7 linked regions of the Callithrix jacchus genome follow. The protein of the gene in region 4 interacts with the protein of the main gene of each other region in a biochemical or structural test. Links are inferred from orthologs where the notes say so. Each region holds a gene or a part of one and is shown on either strand. Other genes may lie near its edges. The genes, in order: STAT3, DUSP10, H2AX, MAPK8, NR4A1, MAPT and MAPK8IP3.

The links.
Region 1: of the proteins of MAPK8 (region 4) and STAT3, one has a biochemical effect on the other in vitro, tested with the Homo sapiens proteins (2 studies listed by BioGRID). The link is inferred for Callithrix jacchus from reciprocal best matches to the Homo sapiens genes MAPK8 and STAT3.
Region 2: the proteins of MAPK8 (region 4) and DUSP10 form a complex in vitro, tested with the Homo sapiens proteins (2 studies listed by BioGRID, with this or other methods). The link is inferred for Callithrix jacchus from reciprocal best matches to the Homo sapiens genes MAPK8 and DUSP10.
Region 3: the proteins of MAPK8 (region 4) and H2AX form a complex in vitro, tested with the Homo sapiens proteins (2 studies listed by BioGRID, with this or other methods). The link is inferred for Callithrix jacchus from reciprocal best matches to the Homo sapiens genes MAPK8 and H2AX.
Region 5: of the proteins of MAPK8 (region 4) and NR4A1, one has a biochemical effect on the other in vitro, tested with the Homo sapiens proteins (2 studies listed by BioGRID). The link is inferred for Callithrix jacchus from reciprocal best matches to the Homo sapiens genes MAPK8 and NR4A1.
Region 6: of the proteins of MAPK8 (region 4) and MAPT, one has a biochemical effect on the other in vitro, tested with the Homo sapiens proteins (2 studies listed by BioGRID). The link is inferred for Callithrix jacchus from reciprocal best matches to the Homo sapiens genes MAPK8 and MAPT.
Region 7: the proteins of MAPK8 (region 4) and MAPK8IP3 form a complex in vitro, tested with the Homo sapiens proteins (3 studies listed by BioGRID, with this or other methods). The link is inferred for Callithrix jacchus from reciprocal best matches to the Homo sapiens genes MAPK8 and MAPK8IP3.

The regions. Positions count from the first base shown.
Region 1 is NC_133506.1:121,754,531-121,758,030, forward strand, and holds part of STAT3 (signal transducer and activator of transcription 3), read right to left. Parts: intron 1,484-3,500; coding exon 1,400-1,483; intron 388-1,399; coding exon 289-387; intron 173-288; coding exon 37-172; intron 1-36. UniProt on the Homo sapiens protein: Signal transducer and transcription activator that mediates cellular responses to interleukins, KITLG/SCF, LEP and other growth factors. Once activated, recruits coactivators, such as NCOA1 or MED1, to the promoter region of the target gene.
Region 2 is NC_133520.1:6,887,552-6,891,051, reverse strand, and holds part of DUSP10 (dual specificity protein phosphatase 10), read right to left. Parts: coding exon 3,369-3,500; intron 1-3,368. UniProt on the Homo sapiens protein: Protein phosphatase involved in the inactivation of MAP kinases. Has a specificity for the MAPK11/MAPK12/MAPK13/MAPK14 subfamily. It preferably dephosphorylates p38.
Region 3 is NC_133511.1:18,753,534-18,757,034, forward strand, and holds H2AX (histone H2AX), read right to left. Parts: upstream 2,090-3,501; 5' UTR 2,014-2,089; coding exon 1,582-2,013; 3' UTR 501-1,581; downstream 1-500. UniProt on the Homo sapiens protein: Variant histone H2A which replaces conventional H2A in a subset of nucleosomes. Nucleosomes wrap and compact DNA into chromatin, limiting DNA accessibility to the cellular machineries which require DNA as a template.
Region 4 is NC_133513.1:40,582,637-40,586,834, forward strand, and holds the start of MAPK8 (mitogen-activated protein kinase 8), read right to left. Parts: upstream 2,801-4,198; 5' UTR 2,649-2,800; intron 1,382-2,648; exon of another isoform or gene 1,188-1,381; intron 1-1,187. UniProt on the Homo sapiens protein: Serine/threonine-protein kinase involved in various processes such as cell proliferation, differentiation, migration, transformation and programmed cell death.
Region 5 is NC_133510.1:67,441,060-67,445,073, forward strand, and holds the start of NR4A1 (nuclear receptor subfamily 4immunitygroup A member 1), read right to left. Parts: upstream 2,801-4,014; 5' UTR 2,606-2,800; coding exon 2,512-2,605; intron 2,290-2,511; exon of another isoform or gene 2,067-2,289; intron 1-2,066. UniProt on the Homo sapiens protein: Orphan nuclear receptor. Binds the NGFI-B response element (NBRE) 5'-AAAGGTCA-3'. Binds 9-cis-retinoic acid outside of its ligand-binding (NR LBD) domain.
Region 6 is NC_133506.1:86,728,000-86,731,499, reverse strand, and holds part of MAPT (microtubule-associated protein tau), read right to left. Parts: intron 3,358-3,500; coding exon 3,302-3,357; intron 744-3,301; coding exon 546-743; intron 1-545. UniProt on the Homo sapiens protein: Promotes microtubule assembly and stability, and might be involved in the establishment and maintenance of neuronal polarity.
Region 7 is NC_133513.1:4,001,885-4,005,384, reverse strand, and holds part of MAPK8IP3 (C-Jun-amino-terminal kinase-interacting protein 3), read right to left. Parts: intron 2,449-3,500; coding exon 2,346-2,448; intron 2,107-2,345; coding exon 1,988-2,106; intron 1-1,987.

The sequences.
Region 1 (3,500 bases), on a different chromosome or scaffold from region 4:
TGGGCAGGTGGAGGGAGGAGGGGTGAAAATGCGAACCCAAGAGTTTCTCTGCCAGTGTAGTCAGCTGCTCGATGCTCAGTCCTCGCTTGGTGGTGGAGGAAAATTGCCAGCTCAGGACCTCAGCCACTTGATCCCACGTTCCAATTGGGGGCTTGGTAAAAAAGTTCACGTTCTATTGGAAAGAACACATTTACTCATTTAGATGAGCGATGGTGCTCGTTGTTTATACTAGGTACCCATAAGTTGCAGAAGATCCTGGGGCACCAACTAAAAGGAGGGGACACTAACCTTGGGGTTGTTGGTCAGCATGTTGTACCAAAGGATGGATGCCCAGGCATTTGGCATCTGACAGATGTTGGAGATCACCACAACTGGCAAGGAGTGGGTCTGTGGAGGAAGTGGGAACTGAGCAGGGAGGCAGAGGGGCTCGCATAGCCTCGGAAATCTCTTCACCCGCATCTCACGGGGCTCAGAATGAAAGGACATGCCATAAGCCACACCTGCTGCCAACTCTAGGCAAGGAGTGTGACTGAGTCAGCTGAGTCAGCAATCAGAGTGGAAAGAATGCCCAGCATGGCCACAGGGCTCGGGCTGCTGTCAGAACATACCAGTCCCTTGTAAAACCTGACTTGCTCACAGCTTGACTCACAGTCTACAGATTGCCCCATTTTTCAGACCCTGAAGGCATTCTCCAAGACTTGAAGCTGTATCTTCACATGAAACAGAGAGGTCTGAGGAATCAAAGACCAGGATTCCTGATTGTCTAGGTATATCTCAATTTAAAAGTCAAGAAAGTTGGGAAAAGAGAATGTCATTGCCACAATTTTCTGTATACTAAACCCACTGTGCCCAAACTTTATAAAGTTAGCTCTAATCAATTTCTTTCTTTTCTTTTTTTTTTTTTTTTTTTGAGACAGTCTTGCTTGTTGCCCAGGCTGGAGTACAATGGTATGATCTCGGCCTCCCAGGTTCAAGTGACTCTCCTGCCTCAGCCTCCTGAGTAGCTGGGATTACAGGCGCCTGCCACAACGCTCAGCTAATTTTTGTATTTTTAGTAGACAGGGTTTTGCCATGATGGCCAGACTAGTCTTGAACTCCTGACCTTGTGACCCATCAGCCTCGGCCTCCCAAAGAGCTGGGATTACAGGCATGAGCCACTGTGCCTGGCCAGTCAATTTCTAAATATATCAACCGAGTATACACACATCTTCTGAGCACTCAAGCAAGACTTCATTCTCAGATGGGATGCCAAGGATTTTTTTGAAGAAAAGTAAGCAAAAATAAGCAGTGTTAAGCAAACAGCAATCATTCCACCTTGTCTTGTAAAAATCCCGCTGGAAGTTTTTGTCCTGAGTCACCCCTGCATGTAGCCTCTCACCAATTCTACCGCAGAACTCACCTCTAGGTCAATCTTGAGGCCTTGGTGATACACCTCTGTCTCAAAGGTGATCAGGTGCAGCTCCTCAGTCACAATCAGGGAAGCCTACAGTAACAAGAAGGATACTCTTAGGCCAGGTGTGGTGGCTCATGCTTGTAATCCCAGCACTTCGGGAGGCCAAAGCAGGAGGACTGCTTGAGTCCAGGAGTTCGAGCAAAACTCCATCTCTGCACAAAATACAAAATAAGTAGCACAGCAAAACTCCATCTCTGTAAAAAATACAAGTGTTAGCTGGGGGTGGTGGCACGTGCCTGTAATCCCAGCTACTCAGGAGGCTGAGGCGGGAAAATCACTTGAACCCAGGAGGCGGAGGTTGTGGTGAGCCAAGATTGCACCACTGTACTCCAGCCTGGGCAACAAGAGTGAAACTCCATCTCAAAAATAAATAAATAAAAATTTAAAAAGAGAAGGATGCCTTTCCTCAGAGAGAATGGCATTCAGTACTGGCAGCCACAGCCAAGGAAAGTGACATGCCAAGCCTCACCACACCAAGAAGGGTAAGCCACCAGGTGGCCACAAACTTCCAGGGACACAACTTGCTTACTCTCTTCAACATGAAGAACCTCCAATGCTATGATCCTCAACCTAATGCTTTCCTCAGTTTGTATTATAATACTACATAGTATTATAATACTACATTGGTTATTCGTAAATTATGTAAGGCACAAAAATAACAAAACAATGTGGACCCACCATTCAATCTAAGGAAAAGGCCATCACTCCTCAAATTCTCTAGATGCCCTTCCCAAACCCCATCCCCTTCCCTCCTCCCTCAAAAATAACTATTTTGTCTTCTGAGTTTATCATTTCCTAGTCTTTTTTTTTTTACAGTTTTATCATATTTGTTTCTCTAATTAATATGGGCATTGTTTAGTGAACCTTACACATATGGATCCAATGTATTCTTTTGTGATTCACTTTTCACTCAATGTAAAATGAATGCACATGGTTATGTGTATCTGCAATGTATTCCTTTTCACAGCTGTGTAGTATTCCATTGTATGTCTAAACCACAAATCACATATTTATTCATTCTAATATTGATGGATATTTATTTGGGTTGCTTTAGAGCTTATAATCAGGCTGCTCTGCACTTTATACATGTTTCCTGGTACATATATGCAAAGATTTCTCTGTTGTTGAATCCTGAAATGGCACTGTTGGTTTACAGGGTATGTTCATTTTTATACTGCCTAATTGACTATAACAATTTATACTGCGCCAAAGTGACTGTAACAATGTCTTACATCAGTATAGCAACCTTATTTTAAGTAACAGTTACCAATGAATTCTCAGAAATTGAATTCTGGGCCAGATGCAGTGGCTCATGCCTGTAATCCTGGCACTTTGGGAGGCCAAGGTGGGCAGATCATGAGTTCAGGAGTTCAAGACCAGCCTGACCAATATGGTGAAACCCCGTTTCTACTAAAAATACAAAAATCAGCTGGGCCTGGTAGCGTGTGCCTGCAGTCCCAGCTACTCGGGAGGCTGAGGTAGGAGAATCACTTGAACCCGGGAGGCAGAGGTTGCAGTGAGTCAAGATCACACCACTGCATTCCAGCCTGAGTGAGAGCAAGACTCTGTCTCAAAAAAAAAAAAAAAAAAAGAAAGAAAGAAATTGAATTCTAATTGATTTTTAATACCTTTTCTGATAATAAAAGTCATATATTCAGTTTAAAATGCAAGTATCACAGAGACAGTTTAGAATAGCCATGGATACTGATGGCAGCACTAATACATAGCACTGCTGGGTGTATATTTCTCCAGAATTTCTTACTATAAATATGAATGCACATAAGAGAGTAGAGTATTTTTAAAACACATACAGTATTACTATTCAAATTATTTTACATTTTGCTTTTCTAAATATGTCATGTACATTTTCCCATGTCATTGCATACAGGCTACTTCACTCTACTGTCAAGTAAAATTCTGCATTTTTTAAAAAGACTGCTATGTTTCATTTTATTTACTTATTTTTGAGACAGAGTTTCACTGTTGCCCAGGCTAGAGCACAGTGGCAAAATCTTGGGTCACCGCAACCTCCACCTCCCAGGTGCAA
Region 2 (3,500 bases), on a different chromosome or scaffold from region 4:
TAAACATACTTAAATACATTAAAATGTTATCTATAGTATATTTTTAAATATTTCAACAGAAAGGATAAAGCAAATAGGAAAAATATAATTGTTTAATCTGGTTGATAGGGATATGGGTGTTGATTACACACTTTTCTGCTTTTCTATATGCTTGAAGATGCTCATAACATTTTTAAAGGCATATACTATCTTTACGAAGAGGGGACAGTAGACTATCTTTTCCTACCCAGGTAAATGATTAATTATTTCCCTGGACCCAGCTTTGCTGAAAAGAAAAGAAGCCCCAAGAACTTCATAGCAAAAACGGTAGCTCTCATTATGAATGGTCTAGAATTGCTCAGCTTTCTTATTCAGTTTGACTAGAAACAAAGTTTTAGTTGATTAAAAATCAACTTTGTGTAAAACAGATTATAATTCTTTCAAAGACCTCATAATCCCTAAATACTTATTCATTTGGATCATTTTCACCAAGTTAAAGAGAAGCACAGGTTATTCTTCAGAAGATGAGATTAAAATGCAGATTCTAACATAGGTCACAATAGGGAGGGCACTGTAAATTAGAACAGTAACTTAATCCCAGGGGCTGCCATGCCTCTGATCGGTTTCTTCCCAACCTGACACAGCATTACTAAAATGGCAAGTTAGCAGCCGCTCTACTCGACAGACAGCACCAAAAATGGAGAGCATGGCATGGAGACAAAGGGACAAGAAGCTTGGATAGGGAGGGTAGCAACCAGTGTTTACAAACATAAACCATAGCATCAGATGGGGCAGCCGTAAATTACCCAAGATTGTACTGAAATCTCTGAAAATAAATTAACAAGCCCTTAAGAGTTTCCTCCTTATGTTCTAACCATGCCCCCCAAACCAACTTCCCTGCAAAAATTACTCATTCCAAAATGGTACCACTACCACTCTTGCTGAAATACAATCTTATCACCAAGGAAGAGGATTACTCAAATAAATCTGAGAGGAGAAGCCAGACCAGAATGATCTGCTTGATCCACTCAAGAACCTAGGAGAAGTCTGCTGGTCACGCCTTTGGGGAGTGCCCACCCCGTCCTTCATCACAATGGAGCTCTGGTATTCATCTCTGATTTACCAAGTTGAAAGGATAATGAAGAATATTCTAATATTGACCCATTCCTTTCCCTTCTTTTCCATCTTGGTCCCAATTTTAGGCCATTCTCCCAAAAATACCAAAATGACAATGACAATTATAAAGTAGATTACAGATCCTTTCACTCCTGAACTACATATTTTCAACCAAAATTCCCAGATATTTGAAGAAAAGGCCCCAAAAGCTACAAATAATCTAACCTCTACCACCAGAGCGTCTTCCAAGTCGACCGCCGCCGTGTCTCACCAACTTGAAAATGACGAGGCCTCGCGGTGGCTGCCCAGGGCACCCAGTGGTGAGGTCAGCAGTGTGTCCGGCCCCGCCCCACTGAGGCAGTCTTACTCTCTGACATTGAGGAACAAGCCCAGGCTGTCTGAATTCTCAGCTGCATCCAGAGCAAAGGGAGAGCGGCACCCCACTTTCACCAGTTGCACCCAGGAAATTCACTTCTCAGTGACTGACGGGTCACCCCTATACACAACTCCACTCTCTGCAAATTAGACAGTAGGGTCTGCGACTGCTCCTAGTCACCCCCATGTTCAGGTCTAGGGGCATCTTGACCTGGGTTTTTTCCTCTCCACAGATCATGGGGACACAAAAGCCTTGCTTTTTATCTTGAATCTCTGTTCTGTATGAGAAAAAAGGAGATTATCAAGATCATTGGCTATCCTCCTCTTTGCTCCCCAAGACAAACTATTAAAAATGGGAAATTTCTAGGTGGGACTTTCTCATTAGGCTAGACAATAGCAGGGTTAGGGAATCACTCAAAGTCAAACAAGAATACAGAAACAAAATACAGAGCTACACAGAAGAAATCTGAACATATCTGTGACCCCAAGAAAACCCACCACCACCACCAATACCAGGAAATGCCTAGGCACTTCTGGAACTCTCTGCATACAATTCCATGATGTTCTCCTTCCCAGCAAAGCCCGCCAGACCTAAGGAGAAATGTGCCTTTGTGGTAGTGGAGCTGCATGAGGGCTAGCTTGAGGGGAGTGGATGGTGGGAAGAGGAGATTGTGTCAGTGGAATTCAGAACTATATTTCCCAGAATGCTGCTTAACAAAAGTCAGAATGCCTCACTGGGAAGACAAGAAGGAGAATGGCAGAGCTGTCCCATAGAGACAAAATAACTAGCTTGCTCACCCATATGGCCTATTGCAATTTAAATATGCAATGTGTTCAAACTCAGCAACACCCTTGGTCAACACACTTTAGGAGGCTGGTTGGAGATGTAACCCAGAAAATGTGTACCTTGGCTCAAAACACAAAATGAGACAAGAAAGAAGATGACTATCTCTCACTACCATCCCCAGGTAAAAGATGCCAAATGAAAGTGATGTGCAGTGCCCCAAAGGACTGTATCTGAGGGCAAAGAGGAGCAATTAGGCTGGGCACAGGATGCAGGCTACTTTGAAAGTTAAGGCAACACTCTATGGATGGTGCTCCAAGAAGAGTGGGTGAGTAATTCCTTCTGCTGGAGCTCTGTTCCGCTAATCTCAGAGTTATTCTGCATTCAGTATACTGGGGCACATGACACATTACTCCATCTTGGGAGGAGCCATGATGCCAACCGTTGTCAGGTGAGGCCAGAAAGAACAATGGGTCAGGGAGCATTTCATAGAAATGTCTCTGTTCCCTTGGAGACTTGGCAGAGGAATGGATGTAGTTGGTGAACTTACACTTTTTATGGGGCCTTAGAATAAGCTCTGCCCTTCTTCAAGGTCACTTTATAAACCACATAAAAGTCAAGCTGGTCAGAAAGGTGAGAAAGAAGAAGAGTTTCCCACAAAAAGAACTGGTACCTGTAGGTTTACTTGTAGTTCACCATAGTTGTTCCTTCCTCTGCTCCATCAACTGTGGTTAAGTCTGAGAGACAATAACTTTCCAACTAGTGATTGATTGGAATAGAGCTAGCAGACCAGGCATGACTTGAGATATCATCCGGTGGGATCAAGCCCCCTTTAGAAAGATGAGAAAACAGTCCCAGAGAGGTGAAATGACTTGCACAATGAGAATTAGAAGCCGAATTAAGGGTAGAACCCAGATCTTCTGGCTTCCAGTTCAGCGCTGCTGAGTTTTTCTTACTAAACCAATATAATAAAGAGCATAGCAGGGAAGACAAGAATAAAGTCTATTTTGGTCTTTGGTAGCCAGGGTAAGGAGAATGCTGTCACTTCTGTGAGAAAACCCAAAGTGAACCCAACTAATCAGGACCGTGCTTGGGAAGGGAACAGGGGCATTACCTTTCAACACCAGAGGTTCTTTGCCTTCTCTCTTCAGGGACTCGAGGACTATGTGAAGTGGCTGGGAGGGCATCACTCGGCTCGGCTCATTGGTATTCTCATCATAGACTATAATTTCTTTGGAAAAGATCC
Region 3 (3,501 bases), on a different chromosome or scaffold from region 4:
GCAATTACCCCAGGAGACTGAACAGCAGGGTCCAAGCCTTCCAGGGATTTGCCTCACTATGAGCCCCTGATGACTGCCTTGCCTCCTCAGTATGTGAGGGCTTCATCTCTTTAGAGAAATCCAAGCCACAGCCTTTGAATGTAACCAGTTCTACTAATAAACCGCTCTGAAGGTGCTTTTTGTTGTTTTTCTTTCGTGGGGTGGGCAGGAAGATATGAACAAAGCCCTTTCATCCTTACTTCTGAGGCTGGGACTTTTGCCCAAAGTTCTCCTGGAACATCCTTTCTGCTTCTGCCTAAATAGTTTTCATTTCACACAGAATAAATTGTCTCCCAGAAACACTGAGAAACAGCCATAATCTTAAATTGCTATGGTTTGTCCCTTCTCTATAACAGTAGAGCCTATTTATATTGCATACCCTTCCCACCCCCACTGTCTCGGGAAGGTGTACAAAGTCACTAATTCTACAACCCTCTTGCAGAATGAATACAAACGCTCCATTTAAAAAAGAAACAATCCTTTAATAAAATTAGTCCATCTAAAACTCCCCAATGCCTCAGGTTCTAGTGTTGGAAGGGTTAGCTGCAAAATTCCAGTTCGAAAGCCAACAGAGGCTCAGTCCAGACAGGGATTAACCGACTTGTGCTGGTATCTAGGTGCTTGGATTGCCGAGTCGAGTTTGCTGGAAGGGACATGGGGCAGCGTGGGGAGGCCCGACAGGCCTGGCTGCCAGTTGGCTTCCGCGAAAACGACTCTCGCTGTCCACATAGCCAGCCGTGAAGCCAAACTGCAGGCCTCCACCCTCCCCCAAATGTCCTCCTAGGAGGCAGTCACTCGGGAGGAAGATGTGCCTGTTACCAGGTGTTTCGTCCCGGCCCCAGCGCAGACCTATGAATGAAGATGGAGAGCTGACGTGAAAGGCCTGAGTCCTGGCCGCAGAGGGGGCGCCAGACGGATATCAGCGAGCCCATCTCTCCCACCAAAGCCTCCAGGCCAGCGGCCACGTCTCAAAGTCCTGGGCTAAGCACCACGACGGGGGAGGACCAGACGCCCCGGCTGCAGCTGCCGAGGGACGGACTCACCTTCAGGGCCGCCGGCCTCTGGGCCTGGGCTGCCCACCTCGGCCCTGCGTCAGAGCGGAAGGCCAAGTCTTCCAGAAGGTGCTGCGGCCTCCCCGCAGCCCCTCGGCGACTCAGGATCGGGCGGCTGAGTCACGAGCGCCGAGGCGGGCAGGTGCGGCGTCGCCGGTCTCCCCCCGGCAGGCTCGGGTCCTCCGCGCCACGGCGGTCCCCGCAGAGCGCCCTAGCCGTTTCCGGACCGCTCGAGCCCTGCCGGAGAGCGGCCGGCGGACGTGGCAGGGCCCGAGGCCGACGCGGCAGGGGGCGCGGGCCACGAGTGGGGGCGGACGGGGACTCCAGGACGGGCGGTGGGCGAGGGGAGGGGCAGGGAGGCGGGAGCCGCGGCCCGCTTGCTCCGCAGTCTGAAGTGGCTCAGCTCTTTCCGTGAGGGCGGTGGTGGCCCTTAAAAGGGCCTTTGTGGTGGCATGGGGAGGCCTGGCGGCCGGCCGCGACGCGGGCCCTCTTAGTACTCCTGGGAGGCCTGGGTGGCCTTCTTGCCGCCTGAGGGCGCCTTCGGCCCCACGGTGGCGCTGGTCTTCTTGGGCAGCAGCACGGCCTGGATGTTGGGCAGAACGCCTCCCTGGGCGATAGTTACGCCGCCCAGCAGTTTGTTGAGCTCCTCGTCGTTGCGAATGGCCAGCTGCAGGTGGCGGGGGATGATCCGCGTCTTCTTGTTGTCGCGGGCCGCATTGCCCGCCAGCTCCAGGATCTCAGCGGTGAGGTACTCCAGCACTGCCGCCAGGTACACTGGAGCGCCGGCGCCAACGCGCTCGGCGTAGTGGCCCTTCCGCAGCAGCCGGTGTACGCGGCCCACGGGGAACTGGAGGCCGGCGCGCGACGAGCGCGACTTGGCTTTGGCGCGGGCCTTGCCGCCAGTCTTGCCGCGGCCCGACATGCTAGCGAGGTAGACCGGCGAAGCTCAACGGCTCAGAGACACCAGGACAAACACTCTCCGCAGTCCAACTGCTGTCGCGCGCGCGCGCCGAGAGGCCGTTTTTATAGGCCCCCAGGACACACCTCCGCACCCTCCTGATTGGCCCTTTTCTCCAGTACCCTCCTCCGATTGGTTGCGATTAACCCTTGGGTGTCGCGCCTCTGCTGAGGTAGCGCGCCCGTCGATTGGTTAAATTTGAAAACCTTTTGCCCGGGGAGAAAAGGCGAAAAGGAGGGGTAGCGGGCAGACGGCCAACCACCCGCGAACGTAGCCAATCATTGTAAAGCGCGCGAGATTTAAACGGTACAGTCGGAAACCAGAAGCTGAAGACAGAAGGGGTGGAGTCTGAGGCCACCTAGAAAACTTCTGGGAAATTGTGCTGGAATAGGAATTTTAAAGGACAGGGGTCAATACTACAGCTACCGCTGCCTCCCTTTCCAGGCCAGGTCACTCTCTATACCCTTCTCCTACCTGGCAAAGGGAGAAAGGGAAATTAGACCCTTAACGTTCTTTTCTTTCTTTCTTTTTTTTTAAATAGACCGGGTCTCGCTCTGTCACCCAGGCGGGAGGGCAGTGGTGTGATCTCGGCTCACTGCAGCCTCGAACTCCTGGGCTCAAGGGATCTTCCCTGGTCAACCTCCCTAGTAGCTGGTACTCCAATCGCGCCCCACCATACTTGGCTAATTATTTTATTTTTGTAGAGACAGAGTCTCGTTTTGTTGCCCAGGCTGTCTTGAATTGGGGCTTAAGCAATCCTCTTGCCTCTGCCTGCTAGTGTTGGGATTACAGGTGTGAGCCACCACACCCAGTGACTCTGAAAGTGTGATCCCATTCCACGAAACAGGGTAACTTTAATCTTTTGGCCCTCCTGAAGTATCAGGAGTTCTTTTATTTTGTTTTTGAGACAGAGTCTGGCTCTGTTGCCCAGGCTGGAGTCAGTGGCACATCTTGGCTCACTGTAACATCTGCCTCCCAGGTTCAAGCAATTCTCCTGCCTCAGCCTCCAGAGTAGTTGGGACTGCAGGCACACACCCCCACATTGGGCTAATTTTTGTATTTTTCGTAGAGACAGGGTTTCACCATATTGGCCAGGCTGGTCTCAAACTCCTGACGTCGTGATCCATCTGCCTCAGCCTCCCAAAGTGCTGGGATTACAGGCGTGAGCCACCATGCCTAGCCAGGATTTCAATATTTATTCAACATGTTCTGTTTGGTCTCAGTTCTGTTCATTTCTTGCTAGAAGAAAGGAGAGAGGAGGCCACTATTTGAACCCTCCTCCATGGCTAATTAATAGGAAGAGCACTGAAGTGGAGTCAACCTCAGATCTGTTTCTGGCTCTGCTGCTTACTGCTATCAGAACCACCGTATCAGATTATGCAAGGGAGAGAGATAGGCATCCTGTTGGTGGAAGTACTCTCACCAACCCTCTCAATCTACCCAAAAATGCCC
Region 4 (4,198 bases):
CAGGATCTAAAGGAATATGAAGGATATAGTTTCCAGGACACTTAAAAGGAGCCCTTTTCATACTTATTAAAGGAATATATTTACTAACAGAATCGATGCTATATTTCTTAAAGCATAATTTGAACTGGAATTCTGAGTGACTGCTAATGGGTATAATGCCTCTTCTTTGGGTGATGTTCTGGAATTAGTGGTGGTGATCAATGCACAACTTTGTGAATATACAAAAGACCAATGAAATATATATACTCTAAAGGGTGAATTTTATGATATGTCAATTAAATTACAATAGAGCTATTTTTAAAAAAACAACAATTTGGAATACAAAATAACATAACTCTGGTTCTCTACATAGCCTTACTGTGAGCTACTGCCAAAGGTTTGTCAGTAACCCCCTACTAGAATATGACATACTTTAGGTAAACCAATGAAAGTTTGGTATCTAAAGGATTTTCATCCCTTATCTTTAAATAGTATCATTTTCTTATTTCTTCATTTCTACTTTACATCAAATAATAAGCTCATTAATTAGTTCACTCATTTCGTATTCTTTCAAATCCAAAACAAATGCTACACTGTATTAAATAGTGAAAAATAACTTTAACTTGGATAAATCCATTATTTTGAGTTTTAGGCTCATATTTTGTGCCAATAGTATTAATACAAGTTAGAACTTAAAATCAAACATTTCAAGTAAACATTCCTAAAATATTAGAAATTAAATATTTCTAATAAAACATTTATGTGGTTTCTTTTGCCCTTACTTTTCCACAAAATAAGTGTCACCAAAAACCTTTCAAACAATATTCACAAAATGATAACTGCAATCATTTTAGACCCCTACTGAGATATCAGTTTATGTGTGCCTGTGTGTAGATTACGTACATACACACACAGACATACATACACTAGTACATACACGCACACACCCCACAACCTGCTTTAGTTTATTAATCATATAAAAAAAACTTAGACAAGATTTTATTTTAGGAAAATTAATGACCTACAAGTGATTCAAAAGCCCATGTCATCGTAAAAGATAATGTACATGAACTGATCATTCAGCCATCTGAAGCAACAGTAGCATGAAGCTTCCAAAACTTTATGGAGACCATTTTTTTAAAGTTTGATTTAAAATATTATCAATTATAAAGAGCTTTTCATCAATCCGACTTTTATTGAACACTTACTATATTCCAGGCTAGGTGGTGGAGAAAGAGATGCAAGACAGGCCTGCCCTCAAGGAAGTCCCATTTTGATTGCTTGCTTTTGTCAGGCACAGCACTAAACATGTTCACTTAGAGCATCTGACCTCCTAGGTTTAACGTTAACCACAGCAGGGGAATCTGAGGTAACCATTACAAATGACTGTAAGGCTGCAAGACTGGAAAAAATAAAGTTTAGAAATAAAAGCTGTTGTATGTTTAGACCAAATCTAAGTCTACTTCCTAATATTACACTTGTACTTCCAGATATACTGCTTAAAAAATGACCCAGAATATAACTATACCTTCCTTAGCAGACATGACTTACATAATTGTCTCATTTAAAGGTCCATCTATTGTACTTCAAAGCATCCTCTTCCATGAAAGGATACTTCTCTTTACCTTCAAATCAAACCTCTTCATCTGGGTACGCTACTAAACAGTTGCTGAATGAATGAATGAATGAAAAAAACAGATTTCTAATTGTCAAGAGGGTACTCGCTGGATGCTTATCTCAAAACACAATGGACTGACGGACCAGAATTCTGCTGGAAAAATCACTGAATTTCAGAGGTAAAAATAGTAATCACTGGACAATGCCATGTAGTCAACATATTATTAAATTCGCAGTAAAGACCAGGCGAGGAACTTTCGGGAATAAAAATGAAGTGTTCATCAGGGTACTTTAAAATGGCCTTGGTTCTACCATCTCTGAATTGGGAACACAAATGTGAGACAAAGAGATGGGAGGGCGGGGTGAAAAAGTCAAAAGGTCACCACCGAGTGACCCCCAAGAGAAATGCGCGCTGACCACTGAAGCTCGGGCCGAGCTGGGTGGACACCTCCCGCCCAAGCCACCGGCCTGAGCTCTGCCTCGCAGCCCAGAGCTGAAGGCCACCCCGGCCCTTTTCAGCGCTGCTGCCTGCGTTCGCCCAGAACGTTAGCACAAAGAAACCACCGAGAAGCAAAATACGGTCCCCATGGGCTCGGGGCAGGCTTGGGGACCCGGCGGCAGGAGCGCTCTCCTCGGCTCCTCGCCGCCCGGGAGGCAGCCAGGGAGCGGCGGGCCGCGGAGATGCCTCCGTCCGACCCTCGCCGAAGTGTTTCAGAACTTGCCACCCACCCCCCGCTCCATTTTCTCCTCCCGACTCGGAGGCAGGACCCGCGCAAGGAGGACGCGAGAGGACAGGCGGGCGGGGCTCACGGTGGCGGGCGGGCGGACAGGCGGCCGGCGGAGCGCGCTCAGGTCCCGCAGCCCCACGCCCCCTCGTCCGGCCCCCGCCTCCGCGCCGCTATTGTTCCCGCACCGCCCCCGCCCGCCGCGCGCTCTCGTCCCCACTCTCGGGAGGGGGTCACGGCTGAGAAGGCTGCGGCGGCGACGGCACAATAACATAAACACGGCGGGGCCGCCGGCCGCCCTGGCCCTGCGGCTCCCGCCGCACTCACCCGGCAGCGCAGCGAAAGGCGACAGGGAAGCCCGCCAGCGGAGACAGGGGCCGTCCGGGCGGTCGCCGCGGCCGCTACCCGGCGCAGCTCGCGGCTCAGCTTTCCGAGCCGCGTCGTCCGGCCTCAGCGGCTCCGCTGACTAACAGGGACGCGGGCCGTCACCGCGCACGCCCGCCTACGTCATCGCGCAGGGCCCTGCCCCCGCGCTTCCCGAGCGGCCTGCGGGGCGGGGCAGCCCCGGGGCCCGGATTGCGGGGGCGGGGCGCCGCCCGAGGGCGGGGCTACTCCAGTGGGCCGAGGGACTTGCGGAGGTGGCCTGGAGGCGGAGCCGCGGGGAGAGCCTCCGAGGGCGGTGGTGAGGGGCATGGCCAGGAGCGGGAGGGGCGGGGCCCTGAGGCGGCACGTGTTGGCGCGTGGCACCAGGGGACCGCGTCTGGCTGGCACCGGTAGCCAGGTCCTTGCTTAAGCCTTCGGGCCTCGCTGGCACAGGGTTGAAGGGCAGGTGCGCTTAGGCCAAATATGCCCGGCGAACAGGCACTCTTCCACTCCATACACATCTGAGCGATGAAAAGCTGTTTACCTTGACCAACAGTAGTTCCATTCCGAGGACACCTGTCCGGGTCCCAGCAACCCACAGAGAGATAAGTGTTCTCTTCACCTGCCCTAGAAAAGCTGCCTCCTGTTTTCCCAAAATCCACGTCCTCCGAGATTCCTTGCAAATCCAACTCTTCCCAGATGCCTTGCATTACCTGGCTTACCTCTGAGGCACCACAAAGCGTGTAAATGTTACAGAAGCGATAAATTGACGAGCCCTTTAAATATCCAACAACGGGTGGAAATTACCTACATCAATTCGGTAGAATACATTTTAGCAATTTAAAGGCCATGTGTTCAAGGAATTCTTAACAACATAGAAAAATGTTCACAATATATCATTAAGAGAAAGAAGCACAAAACAGGTCTTATATATAGAATGATCCCACTTAGATACTATATATACACATAGAAAAAACCTGGAAAGAAATACACCAAATTATGTTAACAGTCGTTCATCATTGGACTATGGAATAAAGGGTGACTTGGTTCTCTTTCACACTTTGGGTATTTTCTCATGTTTTCCGAGAATAATAGTTATGTTCACAATCGGAAACAAGTAAGTTACTTTAATAATAAATATATAAATATTTACATATTTATATATTTTTATAAATATATCTATAATGATTTGTTTTTATAATAAATATAATTTTTATAAATATTATATATATATGTATGTTGGGCTGGCCTGTTTCTGGTGATTCTGAAAAGGAACATACAGGTGATTATTCATTAATTCTCATCCCAGTTTCTCTCTCCCTCCTTTTCAACCTTCTTAATTTCCTGCCATCCTTTATTCCTGCAATAATTATTTATTGCATGCCCATTCAGTGCCAGGCAATACAATAGAGTTTACAGATTTAATCACTGTGCTATCAAAGTAATAGCAGTAAACACATGCAAAATTATCACTGTCTTATAATACAAATTGTCAAGGATACATAATATTATGA
Region 5 (4,014 bases), on a different chromosome or scaffold from region 4:
GAGGCGAAAGTGGCTGGTCGAGGTGGCTCACGCTTTGGGAGGCCAAGGCAGGCGCATCACAAGGTCAGGAATTTGAGACCAGCTTGGCCAACATAGTGAAACCCTTTCTCTACTAAAAACACAAAAACCAGCCGGGCATGGCGGCACACGCCTGTAGTCCCAGATACTTGGGAGGCTGAGTCAGAAGAATCACTTGAACCCAGGATGCGGAGATTGTGGTGAGCCAAGATCCCACCACTGCACTCCAGCCTGGGTAACAGAGTGAGACTTGTCTCAAAAAAAAAAAAAAAAAAGGAGGACAAGTGACCCCCAAAATGGGGTGGAGCATCAGGCCAGACTTTAGTCCTTAGCTACTGCTCCCCACCAATTTCATTTCCCAGCCATTCACTGTGCTCCAGTCATGTGGGCCTTCTCTCCCCACTCAGGGTCTCTGCACTGGCCATTCCCTCTGCCCAGAACTGGCTCTTCCTTATCAATCAGGTTTCATTTCCCATGTCATCTCCCTAAAGGGCCTACATCCCCACCCCACCACACTAGCCTAATTTTATTCACCATAGGTCTTGTGTTCACATCTGTTCACTGGTTTATCACCTTTCTAACCAACCAGAATCTAAGGATGCTGTCCCCCTCAATCACTGCGGAGTCTGCAGTCTCTAAACCCTGCTCAGCACTGGCAGGTGCTCAGAAGGGAAGAGCCTTCCAGCTCAAGAGCTATCCCTTCCTTTTGGGGGCAGATCCAAGCGCCAGAGCCTTCTTCCTTATGTTGAATCACAACCCAGATTCTAAAATTCCCCAGCCCTGGATCCCAGCTTTGCCCCCTGTACTGGCCAGTGGGAAGCCTCATTCTAGTCCTTCCTAACGAGTACTTTAGCCATTTCCTAACTAAACTGCCTGTTGCAACAGGATACCACTGACAGGCCCTCTGCCTGACAGGCCCTGGTGGCCTCCTGAGTACAAGCTCTGCATTGGCCAATGTCCCCACCCAGAAATGGGCATATTACTATTATTAGCAATAACAACAGCAGCTAATATACTTATATATATAAGTATAAATATAATATAATATATAAAAATATATATATTATATATATATAATAATAAACAGCAGTTAATACACTTAACAGTGTATCTGACAACATGTGCCAGATACACTGTTAAGCACTTTAGACACATTGTTTCATTTCAGCCTCCCAATGCTATGAGGAAGGGATTATAATGTTAAGCAACTTGTCCAAGGTCACACAGCTAGGAATTGGCAAAACTGGGTTTAGAACCCAGGGAGCCCAACCAAGGAGTCCAAATCAAGCATCCTTCCTCCCCCTTGCCACCCGCTTGGACCTGTGTAGTGGATGGAGGGTACACACTGCACAGAGCAGTCCCACAGCCTCTGTCCAGAGAGCAGGTCAGAAGCTAAGGGCCTTTGAGCCAGGCACAGGGCCTGAACTCCTCAGCTGATTTTCTTGAGTCCAGCACGGGCCTCAACCGGGATGTCAGTCACATTCACATTGTTAATCTCAGCCCATCCTTCTGCCCAGTCGCCTGCAATTAGAATCTTGATGTTATCACACTGTAAGTGTCACTCCTCACAGCTCTGGGTGACTACAAGGAGTTGGCTGACTTCCTGTTTAAGTCTTCATCCAAGTCACTGATAAGAACGTTCACTTGAGTAGGTCTAGGGGCAAGCCTTGTAGCCCCACCACTAGGGCCCCAGACCAGGCCGACAGCAGCCCCCAAATCCATCAGCACCCATTGGGCATAACTGTAGGGAACCTAACGACCTCTGCCCAGCCTGCGTTTTCCCAATGTGCCCCTAATATAGCCCTATACCCAAATTCACAATTCACTGAAAACCACCTCTGCAGCATTTCTCGAGTCCACCAGGTCATCTATCAAAAATGAAGACATAAAAAGGGAATGAGAGAAGTCAAGGAACTGTGCCCCGGGCCCTCAACACAGACCACCAGGGTAAGAAGGTCTGGAAATACCCGCCCCCACCCCACCCAATGTAAGGAGGGAAGATGTTGCGGCAAACAACAACAACAACAACACGCCTGGGAGACACGAACCCCGAGTCCTAAGCCCCAGCTCCGCCTGACTCCACGAGATCCCCAGCCTTGGTTCCTCGACTCAGTCCCGCTAAGGGGCTGCATCGCGCAGCATCGGTCCCTCTCGGCTGGGTCTCCTGGCAGACGAGCTCCCGCGCTCCTGGAACCGGTTCCCGCAGCCGGCGGGGAAATGGAAGGAATTTCTCTGGCCTGGCCACCTCCAGCGCCCCTCGTGGGCCAAACCCCACCCTTGGCGGGCTGGGGAGAGAAAGCCTTGGCGGTCGCTCTTGGGGGCTGACTCGGAGCCAGGAGGTTCCGCTGGGAATCCAGTCCCTCTCCCCGACTCCCCTAGTTTCCAAGCGGGACTCCCGGCATGGCCCCGAGCCCGCCCCAAGGCATCCACCAAGGCCCCGAGACTGCCCGGCCTCTCCCGGGCCCACCTCCAGCCACCCCGACGGCCCCTCACCTGACCCTGCGGGCTCCGCTCGCCTCTCCACCCCCGCTTTCCGGGGTCGCGCCCCAGCAGTCCCGAAGCTGCTCCGCGCCGCAGGGGCGCCCATGCCGGCAGGCCGGGGGTCGAGGGTGCCGCGCTGGGATCCCGCCAGTTCCGCCGCCACCGCCGCCTCGCGCTCCTGCAGCCGCGCCGCCGCTCGGCGCCCCCCGCCCCCGGGTAGCCCCCCGCCCGCAGTTCCGGCAGCACCGCGCTCCCCGCCCCCGCGCCCGCGGCCGCCCGCGCTCTGCCCCAGCCCCGGCGCACCTCCCCCGGCGGGAGGGGCGGGGACCGTGACGCGCGCCCATTGACGTCTCCGGAATCCCGGCGGCGGCGGCCGACGCAGCCTCATCAATGGGGCTAAAAATAGCGGCGCCCGGAATAGCCGCGAGCGCCCCGCCCCGCGGCTCCCCCCACGCCGCACACCCGGTTACATAACCCGCCTCCTGCGGCCGGAGCCGGGGAGCTGGTTCTCAGGTGAGGGAACCGAGGCCTCACTCACACCTCCCGAGGCGGCGCACCCGGGGCTAGGTTATAAATAAACTTACCTGGGGCTTCCCCAGGAAGAAGTGGAAAGAGCGAGGCTCAGAGAGGCTCGGTGGCGGCCCACAGTCACACAGCAATTCGTCTGCTCGCGAAGACAGGGCCTGGCCTTTGAGTCTGCGGGCGCCTTGCCTGCATCGCTTGGCCTTCATGCCACCCCAAGAACAAAAAATCCCAGGTAGCAGGGCACCCAGCTTCCACACGAGAAGGCAGCTTATAGAAAAAAACGACTTCCTCAGAGGGTGAGATTTCTCCTGAAGAGGGCACTTCCCGAGGAGCGGGAGCAGGCCGCGGCAAAGCCCAGGTGATGGATTCACTGATCTGGCTGCTCCCATGCCACTGTGTGGCCTAGGGCAGTCGCTTGACCTCTCGGAGCCTCAGCTTCCTCAGCTCTAAAATGAAGATGATATGTCCGATTATCCACCCTTTCTGGTTGTCAGGACAATAACAGCTGCAGAGGTGCCTTGTACACAGTATACCCTCGGAGCTGGTTCTCCTCCCTGCTCTCCCCAGTCCACAAGAGTGCTTAATGCTCTCAGTGGCCCACCGCCGTGGCCAGGAAGCCCTGGGAGGCCCACCCTCGCCTAACCAGAGTCTCCAGGCCCAGGCTTCCACGGTAAGAATCTTCCTGGGGCTGCAGGCACTTGGAATGTTCCTGTCTCCGACGTGACTGGAGCCGTCTTTGGAAATGGGAGAACCATCCTGTCCTGAGCAAATCTTTCTCCCCCAGCAGCTGCCCACTCAGGAGTGGCTGGTCAGGAAGGCCAGGCAGGCCAAGGTTGGAGCAATGGGGTTGGGGCTGACTGGGTGGGATTGGGGGGAACCATCCTCTCCTTAGCAAATCCTTCTCCCCCAGCAGCTGCCCACTCAGGAGTGGCTGGTCAGGAAGGCCAGGCGGGCCAAGGTTGGAGCAATGGGGTTGGGGCTGACTGGGTG
Region 6 (3,500 bases), on a different chromosome or scaffold from region 4:
GAAGGGGCAAAGGAACCCAATGACAGTAGCAATTTTGATTTTGATTTTTGAGACAGGGTCTTGCTGGGTTCAAGCGATACTTGTGCCTCCACCTCCCGAGTAGCTGGGATTACAGGTGTGCACCACCATGCCTAGTTAATTTTTGTATTTTTAGTAGAGACAAGGTTTCACCATGTTGGCCAGGCTGGTCTCAAACTTCTGACTTCAGGTGATCCACCTGCCTTGGCCTCCCAAGGAACTAGGATTACAGGCGTGAGCGACTGTGCCCAGCTTTAGAGTAGTGATTTTGAAACCAAGGTCCTGCTAAGTGTCTTAGGGGCTGCTGTTATGAGGGCCTGCGGGGTGCTGAGAGGTATGGCCTTGAGCTCTCTTTTCCCCTTTGTCCAGAACTCTAACTATTCCACATGGTGCTTCTATGTAGAGCTCATTTGAAGAAAGATCTTTGAGGCTAAAAAAAAAAAACCAAAACAAACAAACAAACAAAAAACCCACATTTGCAAACCATGGCAGAGCAACCTGGTTCTTTTCAAAGGTGGTTTCCTTACCTTGAATCTCATCTCCTTTGCTCCAGAACTGCCAGTTCGGGGAGTGACAGAAGAGACGCATTTAGGAGAGGAAGGTGGCTCTGGGCACACGGCAGGGCTGGAGGGTTGGATCAGAGGGTCTGAGCTACCAGGAGTGGGGTGTTTGGGGCTAAGGCAAGGCCTAGCTTTCAAGGTTTTAGCAGAGGAACGTGTGGATGTCTTAAACATAAACATAAATAAAATCAAAATAAAAGTCAGCACATGGAGGAGGGAAACAAACTGAAAAAAGGACAGTAACTAAAAATAAATAAGGCAGGTAATGGTTGAAAGCAGTGATCTCCAGGCTGTTTACATCATGTATCCTTAACATCCCTTCTGATTAGTAAGAACAGGAAAGGGATCATCCTCCCCAATCATAGTTCTATATGACCGACTTACTCAACTCGCATCTGACAGAGCTTTCAGAAGAGGACACGAAAAATGAATGGAAATTCTAGTATGTTCTTTCTCCAGCCCGTTAGATGTTATTGTGCCCCTGAATTTGGAGACCACTGGTTTAAAGGTGCTTCACATGAATAAGCTGATGGAGAGCATCAAGGTGCATGAATCTCAGGATGTTACTCAAGAAAATGCCCCCAAGTGTGTCATAGGTCCGAAGCGTCCCACTTTCTACTCAATTCCAGGCAAGGCGCTTTTTTGTCTGCCCATTAACCCATGGGTTCTTCCACCACACTGACAGACTCATACAGCTACAATCAGGAGTATACTTGCCCCAAGTTGGAAAGATTCTATCTGACATCACTTAGGGTACACCCACCCCCACCACATGTGCTTTCTGACTAAAGTCTCAAATTAAACTAATATTAACACTGTCAGGTGAATCCTAATCTGGCCAATATTAACTCTTTTTTCAGTTGGTTTGTTTTAGAGACGGTCTCCGTCTGTCGCTCTGGCTGGAGTGCAGTGGTGCCATCATGGGTCACTGCAGCCTCTACCATTTGGGCTCAAGTGATCCTCCCACCTCTGCCTGGCCAATTAAAAAAATATTTTTTAAGAGATGGGGTCTTGCTATGTTGCCCTGGCTGGTTTACAACTCTTGGGCTCGGGAGATCCTCCCACCTTAGCCTCCCACAGTGCCTCATGCCTGGGATTACATGAGCCACTGTGCCAAGCCTGCAGTCTTAACTCCTTTTCTTTTTTTCAGTTTGTCAGTGTAAACAATGCTAACTCTTGAACTTGTTCCACATGAAGAAGCACCAGGGATGGGTGGGTGTCTGCATGCCTATCCCTGTGGAGGAGGGGCCTTTGGAGCCGGGATGCAGGAGAGATGGTGACTGATGGCCACAGTCTGTCCTGCCCCAGCGGGATTTTGACAGGTGGGCATGGCCCTGGAGGAGAAGGGGGTGTTGGGAGTTGAAAAGGTCACACTCTCAGAAAATAAAGTGGGGAGGCTAAGCCTCGAGGTGTTTCTGAGAGTGACTCAGAGCTCAGAGAAGGGTCCTGACCCAGATTTCACTGGGCTTCTTAGGCGTGTTATCTTAACACTTTCCAGTTCCCCAGTGAAGTGGCAGAGGCCCTCTGTGTGGCCAGGCTTGGTGAGGAGGAGAATCCATGAGATGGGGCAGAAATGGGAGAGGAGGGACACAGGCTGGGGCCCCAGGGCTGATGACAAGAAGGCAAATCTGGGGTGGGGGTACTGACAACCACTCATTCCCTCACTGCCCAACTGTCCAAGGTCCATCATAGACCTTTCCCTCCCTAGACTCTGAGCAACTCCAGGACAGGGATGCTGTACCCATGTGTACTGAATGAATGAATGAATGAATGAAAGCATGCATGAGGCTGGTATTCCCTGCCCCCTGGTCCCAGTACTAAACATGCACCAGGATTGACAGCAGCTGTCACTATCACTTCAGAGATCCAGGGCAGTTCTCCAAATTCCCACAGGGCCCTTTGCTGCCTCACTAGGTAAGGATGCGGAGCCCCAACTCTGCAGGTACTTCCGGAAGCAGCCCCAACACACCAACACACCACCGAATGCCCAGAGCTACACGGCAACTGGAGATGCCCTAGGGGCTCCAGTACTGATTAAAATCCAGGTGTTTCAGACAGAATTTATGTTGGAAATTTTAGATACCTTTAAGAAAAATAGGTCTTATCTAGCGTCATGGTGGGATTTTCCAGGAAAAATGCTGCTGTGCAATTACGGGAGCATTTCCCCAGACACCAAGTCATTGAGAGAGTAAGTGATGGGCGAAGTGCAATGCTGAGGACAGGCAAAGATCTGGGTGCAGTTTATGCAGTGAGTGGATGGCTTCATTCACTGTCCTGGGGATGCTTTTCACACACACCTTCATTCACTGTCCTGGGGTTGGTTTTCAAACACACCTTCATTCACTGTCCTGGGGATGCTTTTCACACACACCTTCATTCACTGTCCTGGGGTTGGTTTTCAAACACACCTACACTCACTGTCCTGGGGTTGGTTTTCAAACACACCTTCATTTATCAGGGTCTCACTGAAACTATGCTAAGGAAGCTGCAATCAGGAGCATGACATCATGAACCTGCCAACTGCTCTTCCCTGGGGTAGGCATCAGAACGAATAAATGCTGAACTGTTTAAAAGCCTGCACAAAAATACAAAGCACTTTAAATGACAGCTGTACTTTAGTGACAAATGCTCCCCACATTATACATGAGAATGAGCTTGCACATAAAGCACAGCTTCTCTGTAAACATGACCAGCTGCAGAGCTCCGTGGTGTCATCAGCTTACCTTGGCTTTTTTGTCATCGCCTCCAGTCCCGTCTTTGCTTTTACTGACCATGCGAGCTAATAAAATAGAAAAGGAGAATGCCTGTCACACTCCATTTTCACTGTTCACAGAAAGAGCCAGCTGTGGTGAAGTTGGATTTCTCCGGGTAGGTCCACGTTCTGTTTAGTTGGGTCTGGTGGAAGCCCAGGTGGTTCTCTTT
Region 7 (3,500 bases), about 37 Mb from region 4:
AAACAAAGTTGAGAAGTACACATTATCTGAATGATGTGGCGGAACGTTTCTGAGTATTAATCGCCTTTGGATTTTTTATATATATATTTGCCACACACGAGGAAAGTTTCACTGAAAATTCACAGCACCAAAGCAGGCCCCTCGCCTTCTTCCTGATCGTAGGGGAGAACGTTCCATCTTTCACCATCAACTAGAGTGTCCCCAACACCACTAAGCTGAACACTTCAACACGGTTAAGACGGAAAATAGGATGTTATTTATAGGTGACCTCTATCGGGGCACTTTCTGACTCCACCCAGGCTGAGACAGGTCTTCCTGTCAGGCCTGAGGCCCCACATGACTCTGCACCCTGGAGGTCCCCCTGCCCCAGATAAGACAATCAGCCAGGAGTACACCAGGAGGCAGCCTGGGATCCTGGAGCTTCTCGCCCCGTGGGCTGTGGGGAGCAAGGCCATGGCGAAAGGCTTGGACCCTGACGCATACAAGGGCACAGACTAGACTGTCCTACTGCCTGCCTGCCATGCCTGAAGGCCCTGGCCTGGGGATCCGAGCCACATGGCCAGCACTCGGCTACCAGCAGATGCTGTGAGCACAGGGCGCTCCATGTGCTGGCAGGAAGCAGGCCCTGCTGTTCGCAGCTGCTGCAGACAGAGGCACAGAGGGTCTGGCGTGGACCTGCAGCGCAGAGGCAAAGCCAGGGCCGTCTGGGGAGGATTGGGCAAGCGGGCACCCTCCCAACCTCCTCGAAAGTCAACAGCCCTGATGGTGTGTGCATGAGACATGGCGAGGCTACCAGGCACGGGTTTCTTTTTGGGATGGCGGAACATTCTAAACTAAGGTGGTGTGGGCGGCGGCACCGCCTGTGCGTATGCCAAACACCACAGAACCATGCCCTTCAAGGTGGCGAATGTGATGGTACAGTCAACCCACGACATCCATGAGTTCTGCATCTGTGGATCCAGCCAGGCCCATGGTGGCCGTGTCTGTACTGACGTGTATACATTTTTCCTGTCCGTATTCCCCAAACGACACAGTAAAACAGCAGCTACTTCTGTAGCACCTACAGCTAAACCCAGACGCAATTAACCCGTGGAGGACACAGGAGGGTGTGCAGGGTGGACATGGGTTCTTCGCAAACACTACACCACTTCAGAGCTGGGATTTGAGAAGCCTCAGAGTTGGGTATCCTTGGGGCAGTCCAGAAACCAGTCCCCCATGGAGATGGAGGGATGATTACATATGAAATAGAACTCAGTAGGCCGGGCCCGGTGGCTCAAGCCTGTAATCTCAGCACTTTGGAAGCTTGAGGCAGGCAGATCCTCTGAGGTCAGGAGTTCGAGACCAGCCTGGCCAACATGGTATAACCCTTTCTCTACCAAAAATACAGAAACTAGCAGGGCATGGTGGCCCACGCCTGTAATCCCAGCTACTTGGGAAGCTGAGGCAGAAGGATCACTTGAACCTGGGAGGCAGAGGTTGCAGAGAGCTGAGATCCCACCACTGCACTCCAGCCTGGCAACAGTGCAAGTCTCTGTCTCAAAATAAAAAAATAAATACATAAAGCTGGAAAAATAAAGGTTCCTAGTTCACGGCTGACAGAGGACTTTCTTTTTTTTTTGAGACAGAGTCTTGCTCTGTCGACAGGCACCAGGCTGCAGTGCGGTGGCACGATCTTGGCTGACTGCAACCTCTGCCTCTTGGGTTCAAGCAATTCTTCTGCCTCAGCCTCCCGAGTAGCTGGGACTACAGGTGTTCACCACCACACCCAGCTAATTTTTGTAATTTTTTAGTAGGGACGAGGTTTCAGCATGTTGGCCAGGATGGTCTCCATCTCTTGACCTTGTGATCCACCCACCTTGGCCTCCCAAAGTGCTGGGATTACAGGTGTGAGCCACCGCGCGGCCAAGAGAGGACTTTCATTACAAACAAAACTGACAGCAGAAAGCCCCAACGTTGGCCACGCACGTGGGGGAAGGCTTGCGCTTACCTAGGAGGTCAGCCCCTTCATCCACGTCCCCGATGACCTCAGACCCTGCCGTCGACAGCTCGTGGTACAGGGAGTCGGTGTTGATGCCAAAAGCTTTGTTCACGATGCCCTGGGTTGGGCTGTTGGGACACACAGGTGGGGAGAGAGAGCAGAGTCGGTGGGCAGCCCAGAGCGGCTACATATGCAGGCTCTTCCGACATCCCCACCACAGCCAGTCAACGCTCACACTGCAGTGCAGGCCGGGAGTGGACGGGGTGGTAGGCCTGACAGCCGTGATGGCAGAGGGCGCCTTCACCTAAGTCACTGACTTAGATAAGTACTGAGCCCCTAGGACCCCAGGGCTGGGCTGAGCCAGTACCTGCTTCCTGTGCGGTCCAGGCGGGTCTCCGGACACATGTCCAGCTCTGGAGTGGAGTCAATAATGTCCTGAACATCAGACCACTCGTCACTGCTGCCCATGCCTAGGGGAGAGCACAGTGGGACCTGCGGTCAGGAGAGGGCCTGGCAGCCTCCGCCCTGCTCACTGCTGCCCTCAGAACCTGAGTGTGGAGTCAGAGCTGGACTACCCGCCAGGTGGGGATGATCAGAAAATGGCTAATCCCAAGCTGTCTGGGCAGAGGGTGAACTCCTGCACAGTGGGTGTCTGAGGTGAAGGATCGGAGAGGGGTGGGTTGCAGCAGCCTCTCTGCATGGGACTGTTGGCAGCAAGCCCAGTCTGCAAAGATCCCACATCCAGGAAAGCCAGTGGCCGGACCTCCTTTAGGCCCTCACCCTTCTCTTCTCACCGGGCTGTGCCGTGGGTGACGCGGGCTACCGTCTCAGTGGGGCTGTGCCGTGGGTGACGCGGGCTACCGTCTCAGTGGGGCTGTGCCGTGGGTGACGCGGGCTACCGTCTCAGTGGGGCTGTGCCGTGGGTGACGCGGGCTACCGTCTCAGTGGGGCTGTGCCGTGGGTGACGCGGGCTACCGTCTCAGTGGGGCTGTGCCGTGGGTGACGCGGGCTACCGTCTCAGTGGGGCTGTGCCGTGGGTGACGCGGGCTACCGTCTCAGTGGGGCTGTGCCGTGGGTGACGCGGGCTACCGTCTCAGTGGGGCTGTGCCGTGGGTGACGTGGGCTACCGTCTCAGTGGGGCTGTGCCGTGGGTGACGCGGGCTACCGTCTCAGTGGGGCTGTGCCGTGGGTGATGTGGGCTACTGTCTCAGTTGTGCCTCCCCAAATCCGTGTGTAAAGAGACACCCCGCAACATGACTATATTTGGAGGCTGGGCCTTCAGAGACATGATTATGGTAAAATGTATTCATGTGGTGGCTCTAATCCGGTGGGCTCGTGTCCTCATAGGAAGAGGGCATGATTGCTGAGGACGCAGGGAGAAGGGGGTGTCTACAAGCCGAGGAGTGGCTACAGGAGGAATGGCCCTGCCTGAACCTTGATCTTGGACCCCAGCCTCTAGGACATGAGGAATGGTCTCTGCTGCCTGCACTGCACGCCTGGTGTGTCTGTTACACAGCCCCGT